Linked DNA regions of Schizosaccharomyces pombe. Changing the gene in region 3 together with the main gene of any one other region gives a genetic interaction. Each region holds a gene or a part of one and is shown on either strand. Other genes may lie near its edges.

Evidence for each region.
Region 1: of nrm1 (region 3) and swd3, changing one enhances a phenotype caused by changing the other (phenotypic enhancement), as found in Schizosaccharomyces pombe (2 studies listed by BioGRID, with this or other methods).
Region 2: mutations in nrm1 (region 3) and hap2 impair growth when combined (synthetic growth defect), as found in Schizosaccharomyces pombe (2 studies listed by BioGRID, with this or other methods).
Region 4: of nrm1 (region 3) and rum1, changing one suppresses a phenotype caused by changing the other (phenotypic suppression), as found in Schizosaccharomyces pombe (one study listed by BioGRID).

The regions. Positions count from the first base shown.
Region 1 is NC_003423.3:546,415-550,729, forward strand, and holds swd3 (Set1C complex WD repeat protein Swd3), read left to right. Parts: upstream 1-1,949; 5' UTR 1,950-2,255; coding exon 2,256-3,398; 3' UTR 3,399-3,815; downstream 3,816-4,315. Other genes in the region: translocon alpha subunit Sec61, read right to left, coding at 1-50, 176-208, 265-377, 431-498, 543-552; SPOM_SPBC354.04 (uncharacterized protein), read left to right, coding at 3,882-4,315. UniProt on the Schizosaccharomyces pombe protein: The Set1 complex specifically methylates 'Lys-4' of histone H3.
Region 2 is NC_003421.2:658,014-665,126, reverse strand, and holds hap2 (Ino80 complex subunit), read left to right. Parts: upstream 1-3,917; 5' UTR 3,918-3,945; coding exon 3,946-3,957; intron 3,958-4,002; coding exon 4,003-4,030; intron 4,031-4,082; coding exon 4,083-4,276; 3' UTR 4,277-4,387; downstream 4,388-7,113. Other genes in the region: peptidyl-prolyl cis-trans isomerase Pin1, read right to left, coding at 59-459; protein asi1, read left to right, coding at 1,139-2,785; sif2 (Sad1-interacting factor 2), read right to left, coding at 4,806-4,829, 4,930-5,418, 5,499-5,560, 5,639-5,904, 5,988-6,295; rpp21 (RNase MRP subunit), read right to left, coding at 6,869-7,113.
Region 3 is NC_003423.3:4,282,119-4,289,083, reverse strand, and holds nrm1 (protein nrm1), read right to left. Parts: upstream 3,141-6,965; 5' UTR 3,043-3,140; coding exon 2,014-3,042; 3' UTR 1,724-2,013; coding exon of another isoform or gene 856-1,723; 3' UTR 798-855; coding exon of another isoform or gene 708-797; 3' UTR 666-707; coding exon of another isoform or gene 651-665; 3' UTR 610-650; downstream 1-609. Other genes in the region: nucleoporin Rae1, read right to left, coding at 1-17, 68-139; tad1 (tRNA specific adenosine deaminase), read left to right, coding at 416-609, 651-665, 708-797, 856-1,723; oga1 (protein stm1), read right to left, coding at 3,962-4,424, 4,487-4,860, 5,129-5,146; Hrd1 ubiquitin ligase complex subunit Ufd1, read right to left, coding at 5,571-6,272, 6,321-6,442, 6,499-6,531, 6,712-6,880, 6,928-6,930. UniProt on the Schizosaccharomyces pombe protein: Negative regulatory component of the MBF complex involved in cell-cycle-dependent transcription.
Region 4 is NC_003423.3:2,796,294-2,804,810, reverse strand, and holds rum1 (CDK inhibitor Rum1), read right to left. Parts: upstream 5,135-8,517; 5' UTR 4,223-5,134; coding exon 3,530-4,222; 3' UTR 2,894-3,529; downstream 1-2,893. Other genes in the region: pgm1 (phosphoglucomutase), read right to left, coding at 630-2,294; SPOM_SPBC32F12.07C (MARCH family ubiquitin-protein ligase E3), read left to right, coding at 7,473-8,495. UniProt on the Schizosaccharomyces pombe protein: Regulator of cell cycle G1 phase progression. Ensures the correct sequence of S phase and mitosis in the cell by acting as an inhibitor of the cdc2 mitotic kinase. Probably interacts with cdc2 to inhibit its action until the cell mass for Start is reached.

The DNA.
Region 1 (4,315 bases), 3.7 Mb from region 3:
CCAGCATACTGGAAGTGACAATAGGAGATATACCTAATTCCATGAGTGTTCTTATAATGGTTAGTAAATGCATAAACACATTTTTTAAAAAATGAAAAATAAGGAAGTTAAAGAGTAATCTCTTGTCAGTGATGGTTACAATACCTTCACTCATCCATATTTCTTAAAAACATACCCTCGATTGGCAGCTAAAATCATACGTAGCCAGCTGAAAAAGTCATTAGCTTTAGAAAATTAAAATTTAAACAAAAATAATAGTCTTACAGCAAAGGATCCGAAGAGTCTGAAGAGACAATTCCATATAATGGTACTTGAGACATAACCAAAAAAATCAACAAGGTGACTCCAGTCCATAACATTTTTTGCTTGAAAGGGACCTAGATTCGATATTAGCTTTCGATGTCTCTTATGAGATACATATGCTACATACCTTTCGTTCGGGTGCAGCAATCTCCGGTAAGAATGGCGCGAAAGGCTTTACAAGGTCCAGAAATCGTACTGTATAGTGTTAGAAATCAATAAGAAATAAAGCATGGTCTTACAATCACTCATATTGTATAATTTAATTAGATTTCTGCCCAACTAAACTTGCTGGTTCTTGTTGACAGTGAAGTATCATACTGAGGTTTTGGTGGTGAATTAAATTAAGGCAGCAGAACGATGGAGATAACTATTCACTTAAATGCGATAACAAGTAAATATTTCGTTTCATTATATAGTTAATAAATACGCTATAATACCAGTATAAACATTTGTTGAAGCTGTAATGAATGCCTGAATTGCCCATTTAACAAGCGTTAGAGAAGTTTTTTAAGCCGATTAAAATTCAAAATAATAACTGCTGAAATGATTTTACTTCACATAGGGATTAAAAGGAGATGCGATTTCCATTACGACCCAGGCAACAAGGTTGACTAATAAATCAAGATCATTAATTTAATATGGAATAAGAAGGGAACTAAAGGCTATGATGAAAGGCTTAATATGTGTACCGATCTAAGATGCCAACTGTTTCACCAAAAAATGAAAACACAATATTGTTTTACCAATTTGTAATTGGGAGATTGGATCAAATAAATTGATTACCAATTCATGACCTCAACAAGTAATTCTAGTTGTTCATAAGTGTTAGCCTCTTTCTTGCAATTACTATCCACGTGATTTAGATGTTTCTGTGGAACAACAGCTATCTGGATAAAAAAACTTTGGGACAAACGAGAGTGAAACATTTTTAACTTAAATTATTTGCATCACTCTGAAAGTTATGAGTTGACTCATTCGAAGTCAGTTGAGAGATGAATCACAGACACTACTTATTGAGAACTTTAAGCAATGGAAAACTTGATATCGAAGGAGCTATCAAAGTCAATATTAATTGAATGAGGACATTATGCAAAGAACGTATTTTGGTTCATTATAAGGAAACCTCTTTTTAGTATCTTTCAAACAAGCAGGAGCTTCATGAATGCAAGGCCGGAGAGAAATTGGACTAGCCTACTCACAGACTAGAAGATTACAAAACTTCAAAGGATATGTCTCAGTACGAAGATCGTACCCTTAGCGCAAGAGTATTGAACCCTCGTCAAATTAGTGAGCAATATCAGAAAAAAGTTTTTGTATTAATTCCTTGTAAACTTTACGTTTCAGTAAAAGGAGCCTAGTCGTTCTTCTTCATTCCCTAAGCTTTTTCATAACTTCAATGCGTGAATTATTGTACAATTTGTAGTAAACTTCCATTTATTAAGTCTTTGAACTAAATGGCTTAAAAATGACAATATTCCTGAATATCCTTTGCAGAGTAGTTTTCGACGTGAATTGCGAGGAAAATGAACCTGTAAACTTTATTGAAGACGAGTCAAATTATTGAGTTATTTAATATAAGTCCAAAGAAAAGCGTTTTTTAAATAGTCATTATTGTGGTATGTTGCTAGTTGAATGTTATACACTTCGTTGTCCACACCAGTTACTGCTTGTGCATACAATAAAGCTGGATGCTTAAAAAATTGACTGGCATCATTGTAATTTTATAATCTACATATGCAAAAAGCCCATGAACTTTTTTTCTTGTACATAGACTCTAGAAAGAGGAAATAAATTGATCGATTTTACTATCAGACAAAGGCGTTTGTTTATGATTGTTGAGATCATTCAATAAACCTTTTAATACTTCCTGATACGATTTTTGTCTTTAGTCCATTTTTACGAGAAGTACAAACAATCGGTCTGATAATTTTTCACATATCGTATATTAGAAGATGGATTCCACAGCTCAACAATTTCCTTTGAACCACGACCTGCAAGTACAAAAAGACCAGAAAGGTGTTGTAGAGGAAGATGAGGAGCAAATACATAAGCGCATTCGCAATTATGAATCACATTCAGGATTCTCTGAATATTGTACTCTTTTCGGTCATGAGAAAAGTGTTACATGTGTCAGCGTTTCCCCTAACAAACGATGGATCGCTACCTCTTCATCCGATGGAACTATAAAGATTTGGAGCGCACTTACGTTTCGACTTGAATGTACACTTTTCGGCCACTACCGAGGAATATCTCAAGTAAAATGGGCAACTGGTAGTAAGTATCTAGCTAGCGCTTCTGACGATAAGACCATAAGGATTTGGGATTTTGAAAAACGGTGCAGTGTGAGATGTTTAAAAGGTCATACAAATTACGTTTCATCAATTGACTTTAATCCATTGGGCACGCTTTTGGTGTCAGGATCATGGGATGAGACTGTCCGTATATGGAATCTTCAAGATGGAACTTGCCTTAGGATGCTACCTGCACATTCAGAACCTATTATATCTGTTTCTATATCAGCTGACGGAACTTTATGTGCGACTGCTAGTTATGATGGAATGGCACGAATTTGGGATGTTCTCAGTGGCCAGTGTTTAAAAACATTAGTTGAACCCATTAATGTTCCTTTGTCTAATCTCCAGTTTACAGAAAATCGAAAATATCTGCTTGTAAGTAATCTTAACTCACAGATCCGTCTTTGGGATTATCGCCGAAACCGTGTGGTACGAATATTTGATAGCCACGTGAATACAAGATATTCTATGTCTTGGGATTGCTATTCTTCTAAAAATATTCCTAAAAATACTGAAGCTTTACCCAATAATGACTCTTCCTACCCTGATGATGCAGAATCTTTCATGCACGATGCTTATCTTTTAATTCCTAGTGAAGATGGAACAATCCAAATTACAGATCCGAGTACAAAAATAATTATTGACGATTCAATTAGGCATTCCGATGATCCAGAAACATCACTTTTAAATGTAACCAGTTTAGGTCCTTTCATAATCACATCAGGAACTGATCCTTATGTACGAGTTTGGGCTCCTTCTCTTCTATTGTCGAAGCACGAGAAAGATGGCTTTTCACCTTAACCTGAATTGTTGACAAATAATGTATAAAGTTTAAAGAAACTACTTGGAATTACGATGAAGATAATGATGCTAAAGGTTTACGTGCGAAAACAAGCTCCTTACTTCCAATCCAAAGGCTAGTTGGCCTATGAAAACTTAAGTGGATCGATACATAGAAGATAAAATTAATTTATACAGTCTTCGATTATTCTTTACAGAAGATTTCTCGAAGAACGAATGTCGGCCAAGTTGATATCCTGAAATTGATGGTTTTTCTAATTTTTCTCGTTTATTAAACCAGTTATATTCATTTTGTTACTAATTTTCATCATCTAGTTTAATTCGACAGATTTTAAAGGGAGATAAATTTTTTACTTTTTTTTCCTAATATTTATTCCTTTACCACTACTGATATTCTAATAAGGTAAAACTTTTTTCGAATTAAATCATTTGGCCGAGTCAAACTTAAAATAATTGAGAAAAAAACGTATTACCTGATTTTCAATGAGTGAAAACCCAGCACATAAGGATTTGGACAGTTTGCAGGTTGACGAGAAAGCAAAAAGTTGGATTGCTGAAAAAGTTGAAGAGGAGCTCCGAAGGTTAGAGTCAGTAGGTGCTAAAGCGATCCCCTTAGATGTTAAGAATTACAGTGTTATGTTAGATGAAGACACGGATACTGTGGTAAACAGAATTGAGTTGATGACTAGCTTCGACTTTGATCATGTTCAACAAATTCTTCTATCCGCCGTACAGCCCTATCCTTATGATAAAAACTTAATGTTTGTTTATTTGGTGATATTAACGCCTCTTCCACACCCTATGTTAATTCCATATTTGTTTGCACCCAAGGTCGTAGGCAAGAATCTACTACCCCGTGCTGACGGATTGGTAGAGAATACCTTGAAAAGATGGACATTCATTAATGATAAGCTCAA
Region 2 (7,113 bases), on a different chromosome or scaffold from region 3:
CACCATATACTGTCGGTCTTGCGACTCGTATTTAATTACAGTATATCAAAATACATACAATTCACCTCCGCGACGAGCGGAGCTACAATCCGACTCTTTCATGGCTAAATCATGCATGCTTACAGAGCCACTCTTTAGCAATTGTTCATAGTGTTCAGCCAGCTTCCTCGCCTCCTCCTTGCTCCTAGTAATGTGCTCCTCCTTCCATGAGCTGGGACGACGGCTTTCTCGATGCTTTACGAGTAAATGGCTAGCACGAATCTTGGGTGAATTGCTTGCCTCGGTGGGTGTAACTGACTCCTGCAACTCGTTTGCAATGAACTTTTTCAGGGCAGCCATATCAGTGGCAGCCGGAGGCTCCCATAAAGACTCATGCGTCTCAGTATTAAAGAAGTAGGGACGATTTCTGGAGCGTGAAATCTTGACAATCCATGGTTTGGGTAACCCAGTATTAGACATTTTTTTTACCACAACGCTTCTTCAAAAAATGGATTCACTAAGACAGAAAAAATCCTCAACTATAAATTACAAGCAAAACACGTTCAATCTCTGCAATTTGAAGCTTGTTTATTTGCTTTGTTTAGAGTCACGTAGTAGCTAGAGTCGTTTGCCATCTATTATGTAAATAAAGCACATTTGCTATGTTGCTATGTCAACCACCACTAAGGCCTTCGATAGGAAAGGAAATGGGGGCATTCTACCTTTTTATCCCAAGTGGGGGCACTTTCCAAAGTACCAGAAGATAGGGCATACCTTATTCGTCAATTGGAGACAAAACTCAAGGCATGCCTTTTTGCCTCAGCATAAGCGGAACACCTAGCTTGAAAGAGTAAAAAGTCGTAGAGGACTACAAATTCGATATTTATTTAATTAATCAAGAAAAATTGGTGTAATTTGAAGTAGAAACATTTTTTTTCTGGCAGATTTGAGTGGAATTTGAGGAAAAAGGTGAGAAGTTTGGAGATTTCGGATTGTTGAACGAAAATTTGTTGGATTTGAAAATTGTTAGACTTTTGGTGCATTCCTCTTTTCGTTTGTCAAAGTTTACTTAGTGTCGTAGACTGCAGTGAGAAGAGCTCGGTTTTAAGTTTTTTTTTCATAAATAATAGGTTATTGAGGTACAATTCAATTCACCTTAATGCATATTCCACACTTTCATCTTCACAAGGGTCCCAAAGGCGTGCGCACTATATCGTATGAGCAGCTTCTCTCCGAAGATGACTCGTATGCGTCTGAAAAGCTGAGTGAGGACCATGTAACGGAGGTTCATTTTGTTACTGATAAGGACGAGGATTCAAATGCTTCCGGCGAGTCGAGAGGTTCTATGGAGTTGTTGGAAAACTGTTTTTCTTTGCTGCATGCCCAGGACGATACAAGTAAATTTGTGTCATTGACCATGCTTGCAAAATTACTCAATGATCATCCCAATCTCATCTTCAAATGCTGGGAAAGGATGGATATGAAGTTTTTGGACCGCTTGCTCCTTTCCACTCATTACGAGTACGTAGATTTGGGCGTCTCCATCCTTCTCGCTTTCTGCAGTGAAGAAGCCATTTTACGAAGTTATGAAGTGAAAAAAAGGGTTTCTACTTTACTACAGTGTTGTTTGAAACATTATGATCTTTGTATCCCGGTTATATGTACTTTGTCTTCCAACCCAAAATCAGCTAAGTATCTCCTTTACTATACATCATTTATTATCAACGAATTTCCATTTGAACAAGCATTTGAAATCCTTTCAAACGCACTATACGCCCTCGACAACGTACAGACGTATATGCGTCCCATTTTCCAAGGTATCGACAAACGACGCGGATGGAAGTTGGACTGTACTTTCTCGTTTTTTAGCGATTTGTTTTCGCGATTCCCGGTTCAATCATGGTATTCCGAGGCCATTCGTGCTAATCTCCAGCCTTTGATGGATGCGGTTGTTGAACGCTTTATCACCGATAAAAATCTTTCTTCAGCTACCGTTATTCTTTCTAACCTTCTTAAAGCTGCTGGTCCCGCCTCTATTATGCCAAATGATGGGTTTATGATTTTGGTGATTGGTCGCTGCTCTGCTGAGATTCGAGGAAGTCTGGGAATGCTAGTTAAGGCAGTTGGTCAGAAAGGAAAGCATGGAACTGTGTCGTACACGGTTTGTGAATGCTATGAAGTTCTTGGACTCCTCATTCGATATCTATGTGAAAATTGTGACGTTCTTGCCCAAAGAATTGAGCCTGATAAATTTTTCCAACTTCAGCGATCGCTTACTGAGTTGTTTAGCGATACGATGGATTTTCTTCGTGATGCATGGGATAACAATAAAAACCGTGACAATTTAGCATCACATGTAACTGTAATCAGTGCTGTGGCTACCTTGTGTTTGTGGTTGACCGAAGATGACAGCCAATATGCACAAGCCTCTGGTCTTATGGACATATTTGTATATCTGTGGAGGCATAGCTGGTCGAATGGAATTGATTATGCTAAATGGATTAGCGTTGCTCTCCCTTCCATGCTGAGCAACAAGGTTTTCTTTAAAGCTTTTAAAGATTTTGATGCATGGAAAGTTGTTTATGACGATTTTATCAAGTGTAACGATGATTTAAAAGGCGACAAGTCTTTTAACGATTATATACTATCTACGAACGAAGAAGATGGGGAGGATGAACGACTTGCTCAAGCTATTCAAGATTTTCACATTCTCATTCAACTTAACTCTCTTGTTCCACAGTCAATTTGGAATGATGATATTTGGCAAGAGCCATATTGGAAGAATTTGCTTGAATCCAATTTTTAAAAAAGTTTTTGCTTTTAAAACAAATGCCCGCTTTAATATCTCCCCATAATTATTATTTTTCGTTCTTTTTAAGTTTTCTTTTTTTTTGGTCGAAAAAAACATGTCGATTTTTATTTGACAATTATTTAAGTGAAACTCTGCTTCTTTGTCTTTGTTTATTATTTTATTTGATTAATAACTTAATTTCTTGGGTACTTGAAGGGATCTTTAATTTAATACTTGGATTGTGTATCCGGGTTCTTATTATTGCCGTTGTTTTTAAACAATTTCTATGTGCTTTTGTTCATGAAATATTAACTCCTCTATCTTAGACTGGTTTATATTACCAAAAAATATACGTCTAAAACCTCTTTGACCCCTTCTCTTTTTTCTAATTTTCCTCCTCGCCCCTCTTTATTTAATTTCAGCCCACTCATAAATGTCTGTATTGTTTCAATTCAATGCTAGAAGCAAGGTGAAACCCTTGTATTTTTTATTATCTTTTTATCATTTCTGTTTGTTTTTATTTCGTTGTTGAACATTATTTGGTTTCAATTTTCTTTCAGAAGGTTCTTTCTGTTTTATTTCGCTTTTTCCCTTCTGAAAATTATTTTGCCAATGAGACACTGCTTTATTACTTGAAATTTTCTGTGCAACCGGAGCCTGGTTCTGCTGGAAGTATTCGTTTATGACAGTGCATTTATAAAACGAATGACAGATTTACTCTGAATCAGTGGCTGACAATATCATTTTTGAACTTATCCGAAGTAAATTCATGATTCTTTGTTATGAAATGATCATAAATCGTTTTTGAAATATTTGTTCACATGTATGATGTACCTTTGTTTATTGAAATTTGACTTTCGTATTGTAAATGTGAGACATGATCCATTCTTTTTCTACCCAAAAGAAGCAAAAATGTAATATGAATGGATAAGAGAAGTCAGCCAAAAAAGGATTAGCTTTATATTAGACATTTGTTTTTCACTAGCAATACCCAGCTGATGGGTAAGAAAACTAGATAACGGTTTCGGTTCGTATCGTTATAAACCCTTGGTTGCGTAATGTAGTAGGCAATCTTCTATAACGAAGTAAGCAGTTTTTCGTTAAATACAATACAGATTTTAAGCAAACTAGCTTTGCATTCTTCACCAGAAACTGAGAACGTGAAGCTTTCGGGAATGGATCCACAGGTAGGAGGTTTATTACCTATTTGTAATTATTTATTGACCGCGTAGGTGGTAAATTTGCTTCAAGAAACTGAAGGTGTGTACCGATTTTTGTCTGACGACTTTTTGCTAATGAACTCGACGTATAGAGGACGTGTATCGGCGTAAAACCGCAAGGATTCGAAGAAAAGTCTCGGAAATTGAAAAGGAATGCGAAATGTATGCTGTGAAAATTTACAACGTTGAAAGAGACATTCAGCGGTATCGCCATGAAGCGCAATTGCTATCTAAAGTGCTCGAGAAAAAAGGGTTAAATAAAGAAAAGGAAGCTGGTGAGACATAATACTTGTTTTAGGCAGGCGCTTGATGTTTTTATTTTTAAGTCTTCATTCGTTTTAAAATCACTTTGCCGGCCATTGATCTATAATCGTTAACATGCTTTTTTTTGACTAAGTATATGAAGTATGTAATGATTGATGGTAAAAATTGGACTCTGCAACCGAAGAAAAAAAACCTTATGTAATTTTTTGAAAAGTCATACTTTGTGCCGAAATCAATACAATATCTACGTACTATGGCTGTTGTTGTCCTTTTTTGTGTAACCCATTTCAACGTTCTTTTATGTGGGAAATCAACTAGGAATCTTCAAAGAAGAGAAAAAAAGAGCTTTATCTTCTATTAAGTAGGATTATTATAGAAGACTACCGTGTAATGTCAATAAATCATGAACTAACCGAAACTAAAAAAAAACTAAAGGAAAAAGCCGAAACATATGCGTAATCAACTCGATAAATATGGTTTAATTTTTTTGCCCTTTCCCATTTCTTCAATTATGTAAACATAATGTAAAAAGAGGAAAGATTCTTCGGTTGTTATTGAAACAGCTTCCAATCCACCTATGTAGAATAATGTGTTAGCAAACAGTAAAATAAATTTGTTGGAATTGTTGATTACTAAACGGAAGTCATTCAATTTGAAACCATCGGCCAAACGTACCACTATACTGAATAAGGCTATCAGCACCAACAGCCCCATAAGGATTACCACAATCCATTCTAGAGATTCATCATGTGTATGTGTTATCTGTTCTTTCAACATTGAAAGTAGGTCTCCAATTACCTCCACTCTTTGATTTAGTAAAGCAACTCTTTGGTTAATTTCCAAGTAAGACCGTGCTGCTGTATATATAGGTTCTAACTGCGGCTCCGTCCACATCAGCTCAGGACTATCCAAAACGCTTCCTTGTAAATTAATGTTAATTCTTAAAATAAACAACTGGCCTACGGCCATCATAATTTCCTCTCTTTTCAAATTCACTCTGCCAGTCTCGGCAATCATTTGGGGTGTATCTTTAGTAGCATCTATTGTTTCGTTGACCAGCTCTTCAAATAGTGATATTTTGACTGATTGAGCAATAGCATGTGAAATTGAAAGACGAATCATGTAGTTGGATGCATCCCGAAGTGCTATAAAGTCGTTGAATATCTATATCTGTTAGTCGACTAGCTTCACCATGAGGAAAAAGAGCTAAAGACAAAAATTTTTATCAATAAAAATGTTCATACCCTTGGTTGATAAAGAGTCGTTATATAGTAGTTAAACTCTTCTACCTCCATATCTTCGATCTCTAAAAATTACAAATGTTAATAACTGCTTAAAGATACAACAATATGATAATGACTGTCACCCAAAGTAATTTGCATACTTAATTTTTCAATTTCAAAGCGACCGAGTTCTCTTAAGAAACGATGCTCTTCATCAATTGTGTATCCCCATAAAACAACAACGCCATAAGTAAAGCAAAACACTTCCCGAAACAAGGGTTGATTCCTGTCCAACCCGGATTCTTCAAAAATACTTTGTAGACTTTCTTGAGAAGATTCTCGATTTAACGTTCCACGGGAGGACTCCAATGTGTCAGGAAGTAAGTCTGTCGTCTCTTCATTATTGTAGCTATACGGACTATAAATACTGTTATAATGTTAGATAAACCTCTTCAAGTAAATATCAATAAGGATCAATAGAATGAGAAAAATGCAAAAATATTAACTAACCATTCGTCAAATTGTTTAGGTCTTGTTTTATGACTACTTCTTCGAGATTGAAAAAACTTAAACAGCAAGTCGACTCTAAATGTATCGCATGTACAATAGGCAGTTACTCTTGGTAAGAATTCTCGATGCCGTTTTCCAAGATGCTCTGCGTCTCGTTTTGCCGTTGACCCTTCTATTTGAGGAATTTGGGAGTACACTTCGCGCCCCGTATCCTGCCTTCTAAAATCATCAAATTCTTCTGTAGAAGGAAGAAGCCGAAGCTTCGCTGCAGTTTTTGTGGATCTCTGAGGCCCAATTCTATTACTCATCCTCAGAATGCAAAACTGGAGTTGGTAATTGACACAAGCTCAACTTCAGGTGGTAGACAGTGAGAGACCTCTCTTGTAAAGGAATGAACGATTAATCGGAAACTTAAAAATATGCTCATAAGGGCGTTGTCAAAAGAAAACTACTGAAAATATGCTACGCACAATAACCGCAAGTTGACGATTTGTTTGCTATTCTGTGATTGACATTTCCGTATATATTTCGCACCATACAAGTGACAAATCAAAGAAATAGTAAATAAATAAGTTAAAAGTAAATACAAATAGAAGAAGGGGCCCCTTGTCTAAACTCGTCCAACCCAAACGAATAGTTCTAATACAAATGTAAATAAAAGTAAACAACGGGAAAAGGTAACGATCAAATCTAAAACGGGAAGTTCAAATTTTAAATCAAAACTACATTAAGACAAATGAGCTGAACTAAAAGAGGAAGAAGTACACGGCGCTGAAGGCTGTAATAAATGTCAGAAAAGTTTCAATCCTCATTTTAGAGGGAAAATATGTGTATAAGAATATGACAACTAGATAGAAAATTGATAGATCAATCAGAATCACTCATATCGGTGACATAAAGTCTTGTAAACTTAATGAAGATGTGCTTTTTGCAACCTCATCTTTTTTTTTCTTCCTATCCAAAATTCCATTAAGTCCGGAGGCTCTCAAACGTTGTCTTTGTTTTACTTTGGCATTATGGGCAGATTTTCGACTTTCGAGTTTCGTAGATGAAGATTCAGCAATAGCTTTAGCACGTAACGCTTGTTTGCTTTGGTGCAAGCGAAGAGGTACCCCTAAAGGAATTT
Region 3 (6,965 bases):
TCCGGGGGTTGGGCAACCTATCGTGTAATTAGCAAATGTAAGTAGCGTATATGTAAAATTAACAAACCTCCACATCCTTTTTTAAGTCACCGGTTGCATTAGATACTGTAGATGTTGTAGCCTGTCCAAAAAGTGACATTCTAATAGTTGTGGTAGTTGGTAAATTACTCGTATGCAGACAAAATTACTTGCTTCAACACACTACCACAAATGCTTTTGCCAACATTTGTACTTCAATCACTTACAGCGAATAAGCTTTGCTATTAGGAATACCCAATTGTTATTAATTAACAGTTGGAAACAAAATATTAGTATTTAATTACGGTCACAACATATCACAGGATTTACGCTCCCGAAGTACTCTTTTCTTAATACAATTGAATATAAAGTATGGATTTATGAAATTCATTAGAAAATGGAAGAATTTACCCTAGATAGAAACAGTAATGTTGGGAATTTAATAGCTCTTGCAGTCCTTAACAAATTTGATGAACTAGCCCGTCATGGCAAACCGATCATAAGAGCAAATGGGGTGCGTGAATGGACTACTTTAGCCGGTGTTGTCATTCAGAAAAAGATGGAGAACGAATTTATTTGTGTTTGTCTAGCGTACGTCTTTTTTATTAATATCGGTAAACTGACATCTAAAGAACAGGTGTAAAATGGTATGCTACCAATTGATTTTTTTCATTAACAAGTCAATTTAGTACGCCAGCTGGCATCATTAAGAATGAACAACTGGGTAGTGTATTACATGATTGTCATGCTGAGATTCTGGCATTAAGATGTTTTAACAGGTAATATATACAATTATTTGTATATTTGTTAGTATTCGTTACTAATAAAAGAATTAAGATTACTTCTCGAACATTGTATTTTAATTAAAGAATCAAAGAAAGATACGTGGCTTCTTGAAGTTGCTGATAATGGTAAATTTACTCTAAACAGCAATCTTCTGATACATCTGTACGTTTCCGAATGTCCTTGCGGAGATGCGAGTATGGAGCTACTAGCTAGCCGCTTGGAAAACAACAAACCATGGAACTTAACAGTTGATTCAGAGAAATTAATGCGTGGGAGGGCGGATTTTGGACTACTTGGAATCGTGCGTACTAAACCGGGGAGACCTGATGCCCCAGTAAGCTGGAGCAAAAGCTGTACTGATAAATTAGCTGCAAAACAATATCTTTCTATTTTGAATTCCCAGACCAGCCTCATTTGTGAGCCCATCTATTTATCATGTGTAGTGCTTTATAAAAAAGTGATAGTTAAATCAGCAATTGACAGAGCATTTGGACCCTTTGGTCGGTGCGCACCACTTGCTGAATTTGGAGAAAAGGATAATCCTTATTACTTTCATCCTTTTACCGTGCTGGAAACGGATGAAAATTTTTTATATTCACGGCCGTTGAACCAAGCAGAAAAAACTGCAACTAGTACAAACGTTTTGATATGGATCGGTGATAAAATGCAGTGTACTCAAGTGATACATAATGGTATTAAAGCGGGAACAAAAGCTAAAGACGTTGAAAAGTCTCAAACATTAATATGTAGAAAGAGTATGATGAATTTGCTGCATCAATTAAGTCAATCGTTGACTAATGAAAAAAACTATTATGAATGGAAGAAACTCAACATCAAACGTTGCCAGCAAAAGCAAATTCTTCGTAATATCTTAAAAAACTGGATCCCAAACGGAGGGAACGAATTTCAATGGATATAAGAAATCTAGAAACCTCAATATAAGATGTACGTATGAATTAAGGCATTAAATAAAACGAAGGATGGCTTTACCAGCGATAATAATTTTATTAACGACTGACTTGTTACATAACAAGTAAGAAATAAAAGAACGTGTTGCGAGGAATTAAAAGTTATTTTTTGCATTTCAAAATAATTCACATATAGAAATCTGTCAGAAAGGAAATGAACGACAACTAGAGTAATTAAAGTATTATAAAAATCATCTCATAACATTATTCCATAACTCGGTTTAAAATGTAAAAAGAAGGATCATCGAATTAAACCATAGTCTGAAAATTGCTTGCTGTGACTTGCAATACGCCTTACTTCGGAAGATGATGGATGAATGTTTTCTGGAGTGTTGGATATGGATACTGGAGTAGGCGGGCCAGTATAGTAATTTGAATTTGGTTTCTGAGCGCTTAAATGCTTTAACGGTGTAGAATTGCTTTTAGAAAGTGATTTTGGCCGAATGCGTCTAGGCGTTTTATGTTGTAAAAGAGATACGCTACGTGTCAATTTACCATGACGAACCCACAGATAATGAGAGGAGGAGCGTGATAGCGTACGAGAAGGGGTGCGTAAAGGAGAGGTATAAGGATCATACATATGTGTTAGATCATCAGAACCGATCGGTCTTGGCGTTGTCAAACCATTCTGATCATATATCGACTTCGTGGGAGATCCCATGGAAAGCCTGCGATTCCCTGAAAGATGTAAGGACGGAGGCTTTCCAGAAGAAAGCGATCTCTGGTTCCATATGGAGGTAACAGGTTCAGAGTTTGGACAATTGTGAAGCTTCGTTTTAGCGACAATGGGAAGATCTTGCAGAGGGGAAAATGTTTGATTAACTTGTACTTTATACATAGCCAATTCAAGACGTAAGCGTAAGTTTTTAGCACAACACTGAATGTCGTCTAAGTGATTATTGTTGGTATTGGTTTGTACTGGTGTCTTGGGTTCTAAATGTGTTTCTTTTTCCTGTTTCTCTCCTATCTCAGTAGAAGATTCTTTTTCCTCTTCACTCTCCGTACTACTAACAGATTTTATTTTTAAGACTGGCTCTTCACATGCATTTTCATCTGCAATTTCTACTGCACGCACATTTCGAGATCGAACCGCAATCGGTGAAATCGTCCCTGGAGCCGCATTCTCTTTTCCTAATGGTCTCTGCATCGGTGTTATAGGAAATAAATGTTGCACATTTTTTCCTTTTCCATACTCATACACTTCGTTTGTTGGCCTTTCCCCCAAAGTGTTTAAACGAGATGGGGTCAATGGTTCCATTGACCTATCCATCTTGTTATTTTTTCTAAACGGAAACCAATATAAAGATTCCTAGTAGCAGAGAATCAGAAGGAAAAGTAATAATCAGAGACAGTTTTTTTGCGACTCGTCGATTGTTGCGTACTTGTGGCACGTATATAAGCGGTGTCCAACGCAACGCGACGCGACGCCCTTTAAAGCGCGAATTCGCGATATAGCGCGTTTTATCAGTTTGCTCATATCCTCGAGTTTATTAATTATATTAACTTTCAAATTTTTTAAATAGCTATCAAAAATGATGCTATAAAAAGTAAACCGCAATTTGCATTATGAAGAGTGATTTACCTGTTATGTTACCGATACACAAACTCGTTCATAACTTTCCTATAGTCATTTTACAAGGTTAAGAAGGCTTTATTCAACGTCCGTTTCAATATCCCTGCAAACGACATTTGAAAATGACAAAATCAATTGGAATAATAAATGGAGTATTTGTGAATTGCACAGGCAGACCTACCGTACACTGAAATATGCTTTTGTTATGTACACAATTACTAAGGCTGATATTTACAGATTAAAAATAAGATACGTTATATCAAGATAACAGTCGGTAGACGATTTAAACGCGCATCTTCTTAATATTAGTTGTGAATAGATACGAGAATGAAATTTTTTTTACACACTAGTATTCGACCATTTTGAAAAATATTTAGTCAATTCATCGCAAAATGTGGATCAAAAAAGGGAATGCAACCACAGAATACACCTTAGACCGCTTTAATGATAAGAATCACTGAATAACCTAGAAACCCGAATGATGCTCAATGGAAAATAAACAAAAAGGGATCTGTAAGATAACACACACCTTTCCACATACGCTTGACAACGAAATTTCATCCAAGACCAATCAAACGCTCCACATCAATAGGCTACTCTCAAGTCACCAGTTCATCTATGCAAGAGCGGGAAAGTCAGTCTCAGAAAGGGTGGGAGGTGCCTGTTGGGTTTTTGAGGCAGTTTCTGAAGGACCACGACGGGGAGCACGGTTAGGACGGCCACCGCGAGCAGGACGAGCAGTAAAAGTTTGCTCGATATCAAGAAGAACCTTCTTTGGCTTGCTTTCCTTGGCAGCAGACTTCTTTTGAGAAGCGCTCTTCTTAAGAGAGGCAAACAATTCTTCGGGGGCACTCTTCTCGACCTTAGTAGCGTTTTCAAGTTTCTCAACAGTACGACCAACAGGCTTTGCGGCGGACTTGCGTTCAGACAGATATTCATCAAGAGTCTTAACATTTTCCTCCTCGGCAGCAGGAGTTTGGGCTCCAGAGGGAGTGTTACCTTCGTTCTCTGCAACATCAGGGTTAGCAGCAGAGTTTACGAGATCACCCCAGCCACGTTCAGTAGCCTTCTTGGTATCACTAAAATAATGGTTAGCAATTATATAATTTGGCATTCACATGTAGAAAAATAAAACACATACACTCTACCAGTTTGGCTATGGCGGTCAAATTCACGACCACGGCGAGCACGAGCATTGCGGCGGTTGGAGGGGGCGCCAGTGGCATCCACAGGATGGGCAGCGTTGTTAGCACGAGCTTCTTTGCCTTCACGAGCAAAGGCTTCGTTTCCTTGAGGAGCTTGACGGCGTCTGCGAGGTTGGTCTGCCTTCTTATTAACGGTACGCTCACGAGGAGTGGGTTGGTTAGGGTCACGCTTCCTAGAGGTGGTGCTTTGAGCGACTAATTCGCGGGGGACAGGAGGGCTGTCGGAGCGCTTTTTGTCACGAGAAGCAGCGGTTTTCTTCTCGGTAGTAGTAGCTGCGGGAGTCTCCTCTCCGAGGAGGTCAAAGAGGTTCTATAATTTGGTTACTACTTGCGAAAACAAAATAAAAATCAGCAGAGTCTGCAGAGCTAACACTCTAAAGAATAATGAACGAAATGTGAATTTATATTTTTTAATACTTGAGCGTCTTTATACAGGCTATACTTCTATAAAGTATTTCATTCGGGTCGCAGTAATGAAACCTTAAACACAGCCCTAAAACATGCTACAAATAATTACCAGTTCGTTCATTTCCTAACCCTTAAAATAATCGTTTAATGATAAAATGTTTAAATCATACCTTGGATGCAACAGACATTTGGAAGCTGGAAAGTTAATTGTGTGTGTTCAGTTACACAACTACAGTCATCCAAAAAGCAGTCACTCAAACTTAGGGTAGGTTGAAACAAATGATGTGCTTTGTCCATCATCTTACGGTAATACCTAAGGCTATCTTAAAATTACAGTTATTCAACACAATGCCTGTCTTTTTTCTATGATATCGGAAGCACTTGGCTTACAATTGTCAATATTCGTTTTATCGAATCATTCATTTCTTTAGCATTAAAATAAGTTTTATTAAGAAATATACTACTGGTAAAAAAAAGCTAGGCAGTCTAAGTAAGAATTAATTACATTATATTTTGAAACAAATAATAAATTAATTCATTCAATGTAAAAAGACTGGTACTAAAATCGTTATAAACTAAATCCAACCAAGTAATAACTTGAGACGATTAACATTAAGCATCAATATCGATTGGGTCATCAGAGGAACCTTTTCCCATTGTTCCATTTGTTTTGCGAGAGGCACGTAGAGATGTACCGGCACCTTCAAACTTAAATAAATTGGGGTCTTTCTTAGAATCTTCTTCAATAGAGGGTGCTTTATAAGGATACCCAAAGAAGTATGTACCCAATGGTAGGATCAACGGAGCAGGACATTCTTGTTTCTCAACATCGAGCAAATTTATTTTAGGCACTTCAGCAACTTCTTTACCATTTAGTTTAGTCCCTGTTCCCTTCATCAAATTCGAATCGCCCTGCCTCACCAGCTCATCGTAACCAATCTTGGTAACCATCGTTCCTTGAACGCCAGCAATATTTTGCTGCTTGTTTTTTTGCAAACTTTCTTCATAACCGATGGGGGGATCAAAATCAACTACCAAATCGGTTTCTACCACTGAGACAACATGGCGGGAGTCATCAGGTTGAACATCTATAACTTTTATTTGATATACCTGGTCGTTATACAAAATCTCAAATATATCAGATTTTGTAAGCGTACTGAAATTCCTAAGCGCATTTTCCAATACCGCTCTGTGGTCCGTGATATCAAGAAAATTCACGCTTTGAGGCTGTAATTTGACATAGCTGCCCTGTGCTATATCAGTATTTATAACTCGAACCAAATCTCCAGGCTCAAGGCTAAGTGTAGTCATCATCTGTGCCCTAGTTAGTACATTTCTGACAGTCTTTAAATTTTTTCATACCCAATAAGGCAGGTAGACACGTCCCTCTTCCGCAATAAATTCTAACACACCCCCATGAGTTTTTTTCTCTGCAGCTTCGTTTTCAAAGTCAAAAAGCATGGGATAACTGACATTCAGGCGTGCTAATAGTTAATTAACAGATTTAAAAGGCTTAATAAATTCTCTTCGCATTACGTACATAGTTTTTCTAAAGCTGAAGGTGGTAATATTACTAGACGTAGTTGTTAATACTAATAATCCCCAATAACAATATAAAAAATATTGAGCAGAGAATGTTAACCATAAGCAAATGCGCAAGCAAGCGCTCAAAGATAAAATCACATGAACTTCATGAGTATATAAAATCAAATCTCCAACAATGTGAAAACTTAAAAGTATTTTCAAACCTTACCTTTCCCACCATAATTGACATTTGGCCGTTCCTCACCAGGAATCATGGCAACAGGATAACAGCGGTAACGAGTATCAAATCGCTGATTTACATTATTATGAAAAGCTGACCGAAGTTGAGACATCATGGAGAAACCATCATCGTCGCTTGAGAAAAAGCTGCCGCCAAACTAATACGTGAGTAAGTCAACGTACGCATTCTCTAAAAAAACCATACCATATTTGCTTTTTTTGCGAAAAAAGGAAAGAGTAACT
Region 4 (8,517 bases), 1.5 Mb from region 3:
GTATAGGAATATGCATTTGTAAAAATAATTTGTATCTTAATTTTTATCGCGCGCATTCAACATTTATTTATTAATACTTTACGTTAGGACAAACGGTACTGAGCATTCCTCTTCTCATACATCATTCGGTATGCCCAACTCCATATTAAGTATCTTTTTCAACTCCTCAGATTCCTTTTCATGTAGCATAGTCATTAAGAAAATATTTATAAATGTTTTCCTTTTAAAATCTATATTCAAGTTCTCACTTGTTTTAGAAATAAACTTTTTCCGTTTAATTCCCAACCGTTCTACAAGCTAATGTTTACTTTATGATCATTTTTCCATTATGCAAACCCAATAATAAATCCCTCTATCCTACTGTCTGTCTCTCTCTCTATGCATATTTGAGTTTTAAACAATCGAGTTGGTTCATGGTAAAAATGCTTTTATTCATTTCTCCTAGTAATACAAAGTATTATTAAAAAAAAAGAAGAGAAGAAAAACCCTCAAGGGGTTTAGTAAAAAAAAATGTAATTCGTTATTGCTCATGATTTTCATGAATTCAGTGCAAATAATTCGTTAAAACGCTAGTAGTTTTTTAATTCAGCTAATAAACCTCATAAATTCAATGATAAAATATACTATCTTTAAGTAATGACAGTTGGCTCCTTACGACCAGTCAATTCCTCCAGAGCCAAGATTTCAAGAGCTGCATGAACCACTGGCTTCAATGCAACTTGAGCATCAAGATCAAACTTGCTCGAATCTGATTCGTGCTTCTCCATGTAGAGTCGTAACGTGGCTCCGCTGGATCCAGTACCGGACAAACGTGTCACAATTCTACTACCATTCTCAAATTTGATGTATAATCCTTGATGCTTGCTTTCGCTACCATCAATGGGATCATGATACTCAAAATCACCGGCTTCAGAAACGACAAAACCAGGCAAAACTGCCTCTCCAACCTTGCTCTTATCATCGGCAATGGCACGCATTCTATCCATCACCTTACCGGCAGCTTCATTTTCCAACTCTTCATAATCATAACGACTGTAGAATGTACGGCCATAAATATTGTAAAAATCTTTCTTAACATCGATCAACGTCTTGATCTTGGGGTTTTGCGCGTTCAATCCAGCAAGAATGTTCAACCAACACAAGATTCCCCAAACGCCATCCTTCTCTCGAATGTGATCACTACCGGTTCCAAAAGACTCTTCACCGCAGATGGATAAACGCTTAGCATCAAACAAGTTGCAGAAGAACTTCCAACCAGTAGGAACCTCATACACATTCTTTCCCTTATACTTGCCAACTCTGTCAATGGCGCCAGATGTGGGCATTGAACGAGCAAACCCATGAACACCTCCATCACGGAAGTATGGAATTAATTCGGCATGATGGGCAATGATGGCTACACTGTCACTAGGTGTGACGAATGCATTGGCACCATAAATCATGTTACGATCACCATCACCATCAGATGCTGCTCCCATTACAATGTTATCCCGATCAACACGAGCCACCAAACTCTTGGCGTAAGTGAGGTTAGGGTCAGGATGACCACCACCAAAGTCGGGAAGAGGTTTGCAATTCTGACAAACTGATGAAGGCATACCGAGTTCCTTACAGAAAAGAGCCTCACCGTAGGGACCAGTGATACCATGTAAAGCATCAAAGACAAATGTAAAATCGGGGTTTTTGGATAGGAAGCTGCGAATCAAATCAAAGTCAAAGATTTCTTTCATCAACTGAACATAATCCTTGACCGGGTCGATGACTTCAACCGTCAATGGGCCATATCTACGGACACCGGTCGTCGTTAAATCCAAGGGAGGAATCTTTACCATTTTGTATTCGGATATGGTTTTAGTAATGGAATAAATTTTCTCAGTAACAGATTCAGGTGCTGGTCCACCATTGCCAAGGTTATATTTAATACCGAAATCGTTCTTGGGACCACCGGCATTATGAGAAGCGGTCAAAATGATACCGCCGGTTAGCTTGTACTTCCTAATAATGTGACTAGCGGCGGGAGTAGACAGATATCCATTTGTACCAACAATGATCTTCTCAACACCATTGCCAGCAGCTATAGCAGCAATGACTTGGATGGCATGAAAGTTGAAATAACGTCCATCACCACCGACAACTAGATGGGCTCCTTTGGCAGATGGTTCAACTACATCCATCGTAGCTTGAACAAAGTTCTCAACGTAATTTGGTTGCTCAAAGACAGTAACCTTCTTGCGAAGACCTGATGTACCAGGGCGTTGGCCCTCATATGGTTTCGTTGGGATTGTTTCGATCATGTTGTGTTCCTATGAGTAAACAGCCTCGACTTATGCAAACTCTAGACTTTCAATAAAAGATAGATGATATTATTAATCGTTTCTTGTTTTGCTTCGTAAAAAGCTAAGGAGTGTTCGGATATGCCACAAAATGATTCACTAACTTTTGTGTTATTTTATATGCTCAGTATGGTAGAGGGGAGAAACACGGGTACCATGTAAATATAAGAGTTACGAATTTTTAACGAACTTCACTGTGATGTAAGTGGCTTCCTTGTTGTCATTTTGCAGTGCAAATGTAAATAAAAGTGACATTATGTAAACAAATCATCTTACCGCTCAGGTAACATAAATAAATACATTATTCATCATGCTTCATGGTGTGAAGAAAAAATGTTAGTCAAGTAGAGTCGGTTAGGCCTAATTATTACTTCAATGAACGAAACGATATTACACTATAATTTTACCCAAAGACTCCTTTCATACGCTTAGAACCAGTTTTGTTATCCATTTGTAGGATTTCAGTACCAGCTAGTAAACTTCACTATATCACCAAACCACAAATTAACTCAATGTAACAGCAATACCGTAATGTGTATAACTGTCTAAGAAGCCTAGAATAGTATTGTATATGCGGTATAAAAATACCTTTTTATTACTGGGATAAAACAATTGAATATAAAACTAGTTATTGAGAATAACAGACTATAGTTTCCAAACCAGCAAAAAATTTAGAAATCGAATAGCATTATTAACTAATCGATAAATACAACATTTCAGAATATATTCACTCTCTGAACAAAGAAAAGAAAATTGTGAAAGCCATGTAATATTAGTATAAGTCTTAAAGTAAAAGCTCAGTGGATGAAATTAGGAAATAAGTTAAACGTATAATATTTCAAAGCATGCCGTAAAAGGTTGCTAAAAAAAGTTGCAATGGCTCAGGGCAGACACGGGAGGACGATAAAAAATTAAGTTGCCAAATGGAATATGAATAGGCACAAATGGAAAGATGGGGAAATGTAATTATAGATACTCAATTAAGAAAATCGTGGTGATATTGTGGTGATATTACCATGAATGACTAACGACCAGCGTTTGTCAAAATGCATTTTCATCAAGAATAGAGAATAGGAGGTTCTGATCTACTACCAAAAGTTCAAACGAACGATTATCATGAATAAGGCAGAAGAGTATTTCGTGATTGGGCATTTATATAAACGGTATCAAACACAATTACAAAATGCGAAAAAAAGTTATCGTAATAAATTGTGCCTGTTTTCATCTTTTGTATTAGATCGTGATTTTTGTGGTGATGAATACGCAGGTAAACGCATTTGCGGTGGGGGAGCAACAAAGGAACCTGACGAGGAAGATGGAACCCTTGATTTTAACGAGAACATTTTATTCCCAATAGAATTCAGGTTTGGAGGGAGAATGCCAATTTGAGAATAGTCATTAAGGTCTACAGAGGATGTTGGGTTATCTGAACTAGAAGAAGGCGCCGAGTCAGCAAACAAGAGTTTGGGCTTAAAAGTAGATAAATCAGTTCCAGGCCTGAAGGATTTCTTGATTCTTTTCCCCCGAAAAACATAGTACAAACCATCAGAAGGAGGAGGAGTAGGCTTTCTCTTCTTTCTTGACAAAAGCTGGTTATCAGATGAACTGAGAAAAGGATTGTGTTCTCTGTCTTCTTCCATACATCTTTCTAAAGAATTACTCCGATCTTGTAGCATTAAATTTGGTAGTAATTGCTTTTTGGGAGTTTTAGCAGGTGTAGGTGGAAATGTGCTAACTTGAGGTGCTGGTAAATCGCTTTCAGGGATTTCATCTATCATAATAGAAGAATTACCTTCTAACGAAGCATCGATGACTCCTTTAAAACTCCCAGGAGACTCTGGGGTAGATGGAGTACACAACCCTCGCATAGGTGGTGTTGAAGGTTCCATAGCGAACTGACAATCCAAAAACCAGGTAAATGCAAGAAGAAATCCTTTATGTATCGAGCGGATTATCAGAAGAGCGTGTATTCAAGCTTTCCGATATGATTTAAAAAATGTATTTTTCAATGGTTTTTGGGTGTAGGAAAATTCAGCACCAGAAATGTTCACAAGTTACCTGTAGCAAACGAAAAGGTAACAATTTAATACCCACCAAGCTAGCGACTGCGCTTTGATAATTATACAATTTAAACAATATTTGTAAAATTGTTTGAAATAATATAGAAACAATTGAAATGGCTTCAATATATCAAAAGGAAGGAACAAAATGGGATTGTAGCTTGTAAGAAAGGTATTGAAATTTTCGGAGTAAACAAAAAAAAGGAATCTTTTAGAAAACGGGAATGGGAAAATGTCTATTTTAAAAAGCAAAATTTCACTTCATACCAAGAAGTAAGTGCAGCTAAAATATCAAAGAATCAACCAATCAAAAAAAGATATGTGCCAACTTTAAAATTGTAAATAGAATAATTAACAAGGAAAAATATTCTTTCTAATGTTAGAATTTAAAAACTAGTTGGTTGTTTGCTTAGACGAATTCAACTTTTTCACATAGAAATTGAATGCTCGATTTCTTATAAAGATGCTACCGTTCCTTGTAAAGAGTATAATTCAAAATTAAATTTTAAAAATAAAAAACTGATAAAAAAGCGGATTCTCTTTGACCAAATTCGTACAATTTAGTAATATATTACTGCAGCACTCAAGTAAACACACACGAATCAAGACTAAACAAGATCAATTGATTGTATATTATATATAATCCAAAACAAAAAAATTCAGTTTGCAACAACCGCTGTCAAGGAACCCAAAGCTTATGTATGTAGTAGTAGAACTGTATGTTTGACGTTCTGGTTAACTGGTTATTTGCTCATTTCGTGGTAACCATTACTATTAGATGGCTGTAACGCAGTACGCTAAATTAATTACTTTGATCAAGTACAATTTTTGCATAAATGTGTAGTTAGATTTTAAATGAGAATCGATTTTCTGTTCTCTTTAGCAAAAATCTAAAAAATTTACTAACAATTTTAAGCATCATAGAAATATTCCAGTTCGAAAATAAAAATATATGACTGCAAAACCGTAAATAAAAGTAAACTACATTTGAAGTTCTAATAAAGAAGAAACTTCGCGAGTATGGTAAATGAAATAAGTCTCTTATTGTTATTTAAAAGCAAGTACTATCAAAACTAATTCAAGGGATATTTCGTTAAGATTGTTCCTTATTAGCAAATTGATGGTATAAGCAATATTTATTACCTTAGCTCAAATGCAGGAAAAATGGATTTATGAAGAATCGACTATCTTTCAAACACCATTTTCAAATCGAAATGGGAACAGCAATATGCAAAGTAAATACACGGTTGCTACATCGCTAAGTATTTCCAAAATATATCACAATTGTTAAAAATTAAATCGTGACAATGTTTATTTATGTGTTTAAGGAATACGCTACTAACATAATTTATCAAAAAATATTATAAACATATTGGTCAATAATTAAAATATTCATAAATGAATGTTCATGTTATGACTTATTTTACGCTTCATTACCTATTGTTTACAATAAATAGTATCAATGCATTTGCCAAATGAAACAATTAAAATGATAGGTTCGTTAAATTAAAAATTAAAAATATGTTTCCTCTTCAAAAACTATTATCAAAATGTAATGCACATAACTAACTCTTTATTCAATTCATTTCTTCTTCTCTGCCTGTGTAAACACTAACCTCTGCCTCATATTTCCTATCGTTCTTATTCTAAGGGACAACTGGAGTCGCTGCAATTTTCTTTTCAAACTGTTTCATTTAATTTATTATATTTTTTGTAAAAAAAAATAAAAACAACCTTCGTCTACTCTTTGTACTGAATTTCTTTAAACAATTCGCACATCTTCAATCGAATACTTTGTTAGGCTTAAATTGCACACAAGAAATTATTTTCTATACTTGAGTTAATTATATATTTTTTAGTGATTTTTTCTTGTCTTCAGTTAATAGGATAGTCTATCTTTTTCTTTGAACATGACATCTGAATTGCAACAAGAACTACAGATTTTAAGGAGCTTTAATTACACTATAGAAAAGCTTACGGATGGTCTTTCTGCTTCTAAAGAAAAAATAAAGTCATTCGAAACCTCCATTAACAACTCGAATCGTCTAATACAATTATGGTCATCGGTTCTAAGCCAAACGGAGCATACTCAGAATCTAATACTAAATAGCGACTGGAAAGGTTTGTCTTTTGATAATGAAGAATTAGAAAGATTGCAACATCAAAAAATGCTTCAAATACAAGCCGAAGAGCAGAGAAAGATCGAATTACAACAAGAACAAGAACGACTTGAACAAGAACGAAGGCAAAAAGAGGAAGCTATAGCTCTTCAAAAACAACAGCAGCAAAGGTTATTAAGGTCTAAAGATCCAAAGGTCCGACCTGCAAGAAGAGCCGCATCTTCATATGTACCTTCTAGGCCTTCCCATGTTCCCAAGGTCTTCATCCATGAATGTGCGTTCTCGGGTTAGCATGGCTACGACTTCTAACCCAAACTCACTTAGGACTCCTTCTTCATCTTTTGCAAGTCATCGCCAATCCGCAATTCCAAAATCGGCCACCTCCTCTGCTCCTACTATACCAACATCCAACTTGCCATCCGTAGCAAGTTCGATTCCTAATAATGGTCTCAATTCTTCAAATAGAAAAAGTATAATTTCTAAAACTTCCTCTAGACTTCGTCCACCTTCACGAGTCAGTAATGTGCCCTCCGTTCCTCAGCACCCCTCAACTCGTAGCAGGACAAGCACTCGTGAAACCACTCAACCACCTTTCACCACGAATCCGTCCAATCGCTCAAAACGAACTACTTTACGATAGTTTTAGGGATTTGAAGTTTATTCTAAAATCGTTTGCATTAAAAAAGCTACACAAGTAATTGTAAACAGCTTTTTTACTCATATCATTTAAATTATATTGTTCATTCCACACTTTCAACTTTACTTTCAATACCCAATCTTTTTAATTACTAAGGCTCCTAAACTTATGAGAAAGTACTGAACTATCTTTATGTTAGAATTTGTTCAGGAAAATGCCTATATTTTAAAACCTATTTTGTTTTGAAACATTGACGTTAAGCGTTTATTTTATTTATTCTAAATTTTCTTTTTTGTATTGGAAAACCCCGAGGTTCTGCTAAATGACGGACACCGCGAAGTATGAGAAAAGCAGTGCTCGCTGCTGGATATGCTATGAGGAATACGACAAAAAACTATGCTCCCTTTCAAATGATTCTTGGAGACGTCCGTGTCGGTGTTCACTCATTGCTCATGAAAGTTGTTTGATTTCTTACATTACCAGATCTGGCAGTACTCGTTGTCCTCAATGTCTTACCGCATATAGAATTGCTAAACCGCCAAAGGAAAAGTCTTGGGCTGTAAACGTTCTTGGAATCGGTCATTCCCTTGAAGCTGGTCTAGCTCAAGTAACGTTTGGTGTAGGTTCTTGTTTAGGTATTACCAAGTTTATTTATTCAATATTCAAACAGACTGGAATATGGATATGTAAACAGGTGGCAGATGAAAGCAGCCTGATAGAAATGTTAAAAAAGCCAGTTTTCTCCTCTGTCGTATTGCCTTTATTACCATGCATGTTGGTTCGGTTCTACGAAGCTCCGCCTTATGATATAGCATTTAGTCTCTACACGCATTTTTCAATTTATAGTTGCGCGGAAAAGATTTCGAATACCTCACTTCTACTGTGCACTCTGCCTTGGGTAAGATCTTTATATAAGGAACTAATGACCCGTATATTTGACGGTATTGTAATTGGAGCGGACGGGGAATTTGAAGATTCTGAAACTGATTGGTTTCGCCAGTTTGAAGCACAAGTAGAGCATCGTAACCAAGTCGAGGATGTAAACGAAAGAGAAGATACAGAATCTGAATTTTGGATTCTTTTGTCTGTGGCACACGTTTTCCTTGATGCTTTTACTACGAAAATTCTCCGTATTGTTCGACCGATTCTACTATTCCCATTAGCAGGGAAATTTTTGGGAAGGTTTATTCCAGGGAATTTCACAAAGTTAGAGAAGAGCATTATTGGTGCCTTTGCTGCATTAGTTTTTAAGGACATTTTTGTCTATGGTTTCATTGCTTGGAGAAAGAGAAAACCCTGGAGCATTCGAATTCTCGACAATCCTCGTAGAGTTTCTGACTCATAAGCAAACAATGAAGTTGTCAAAC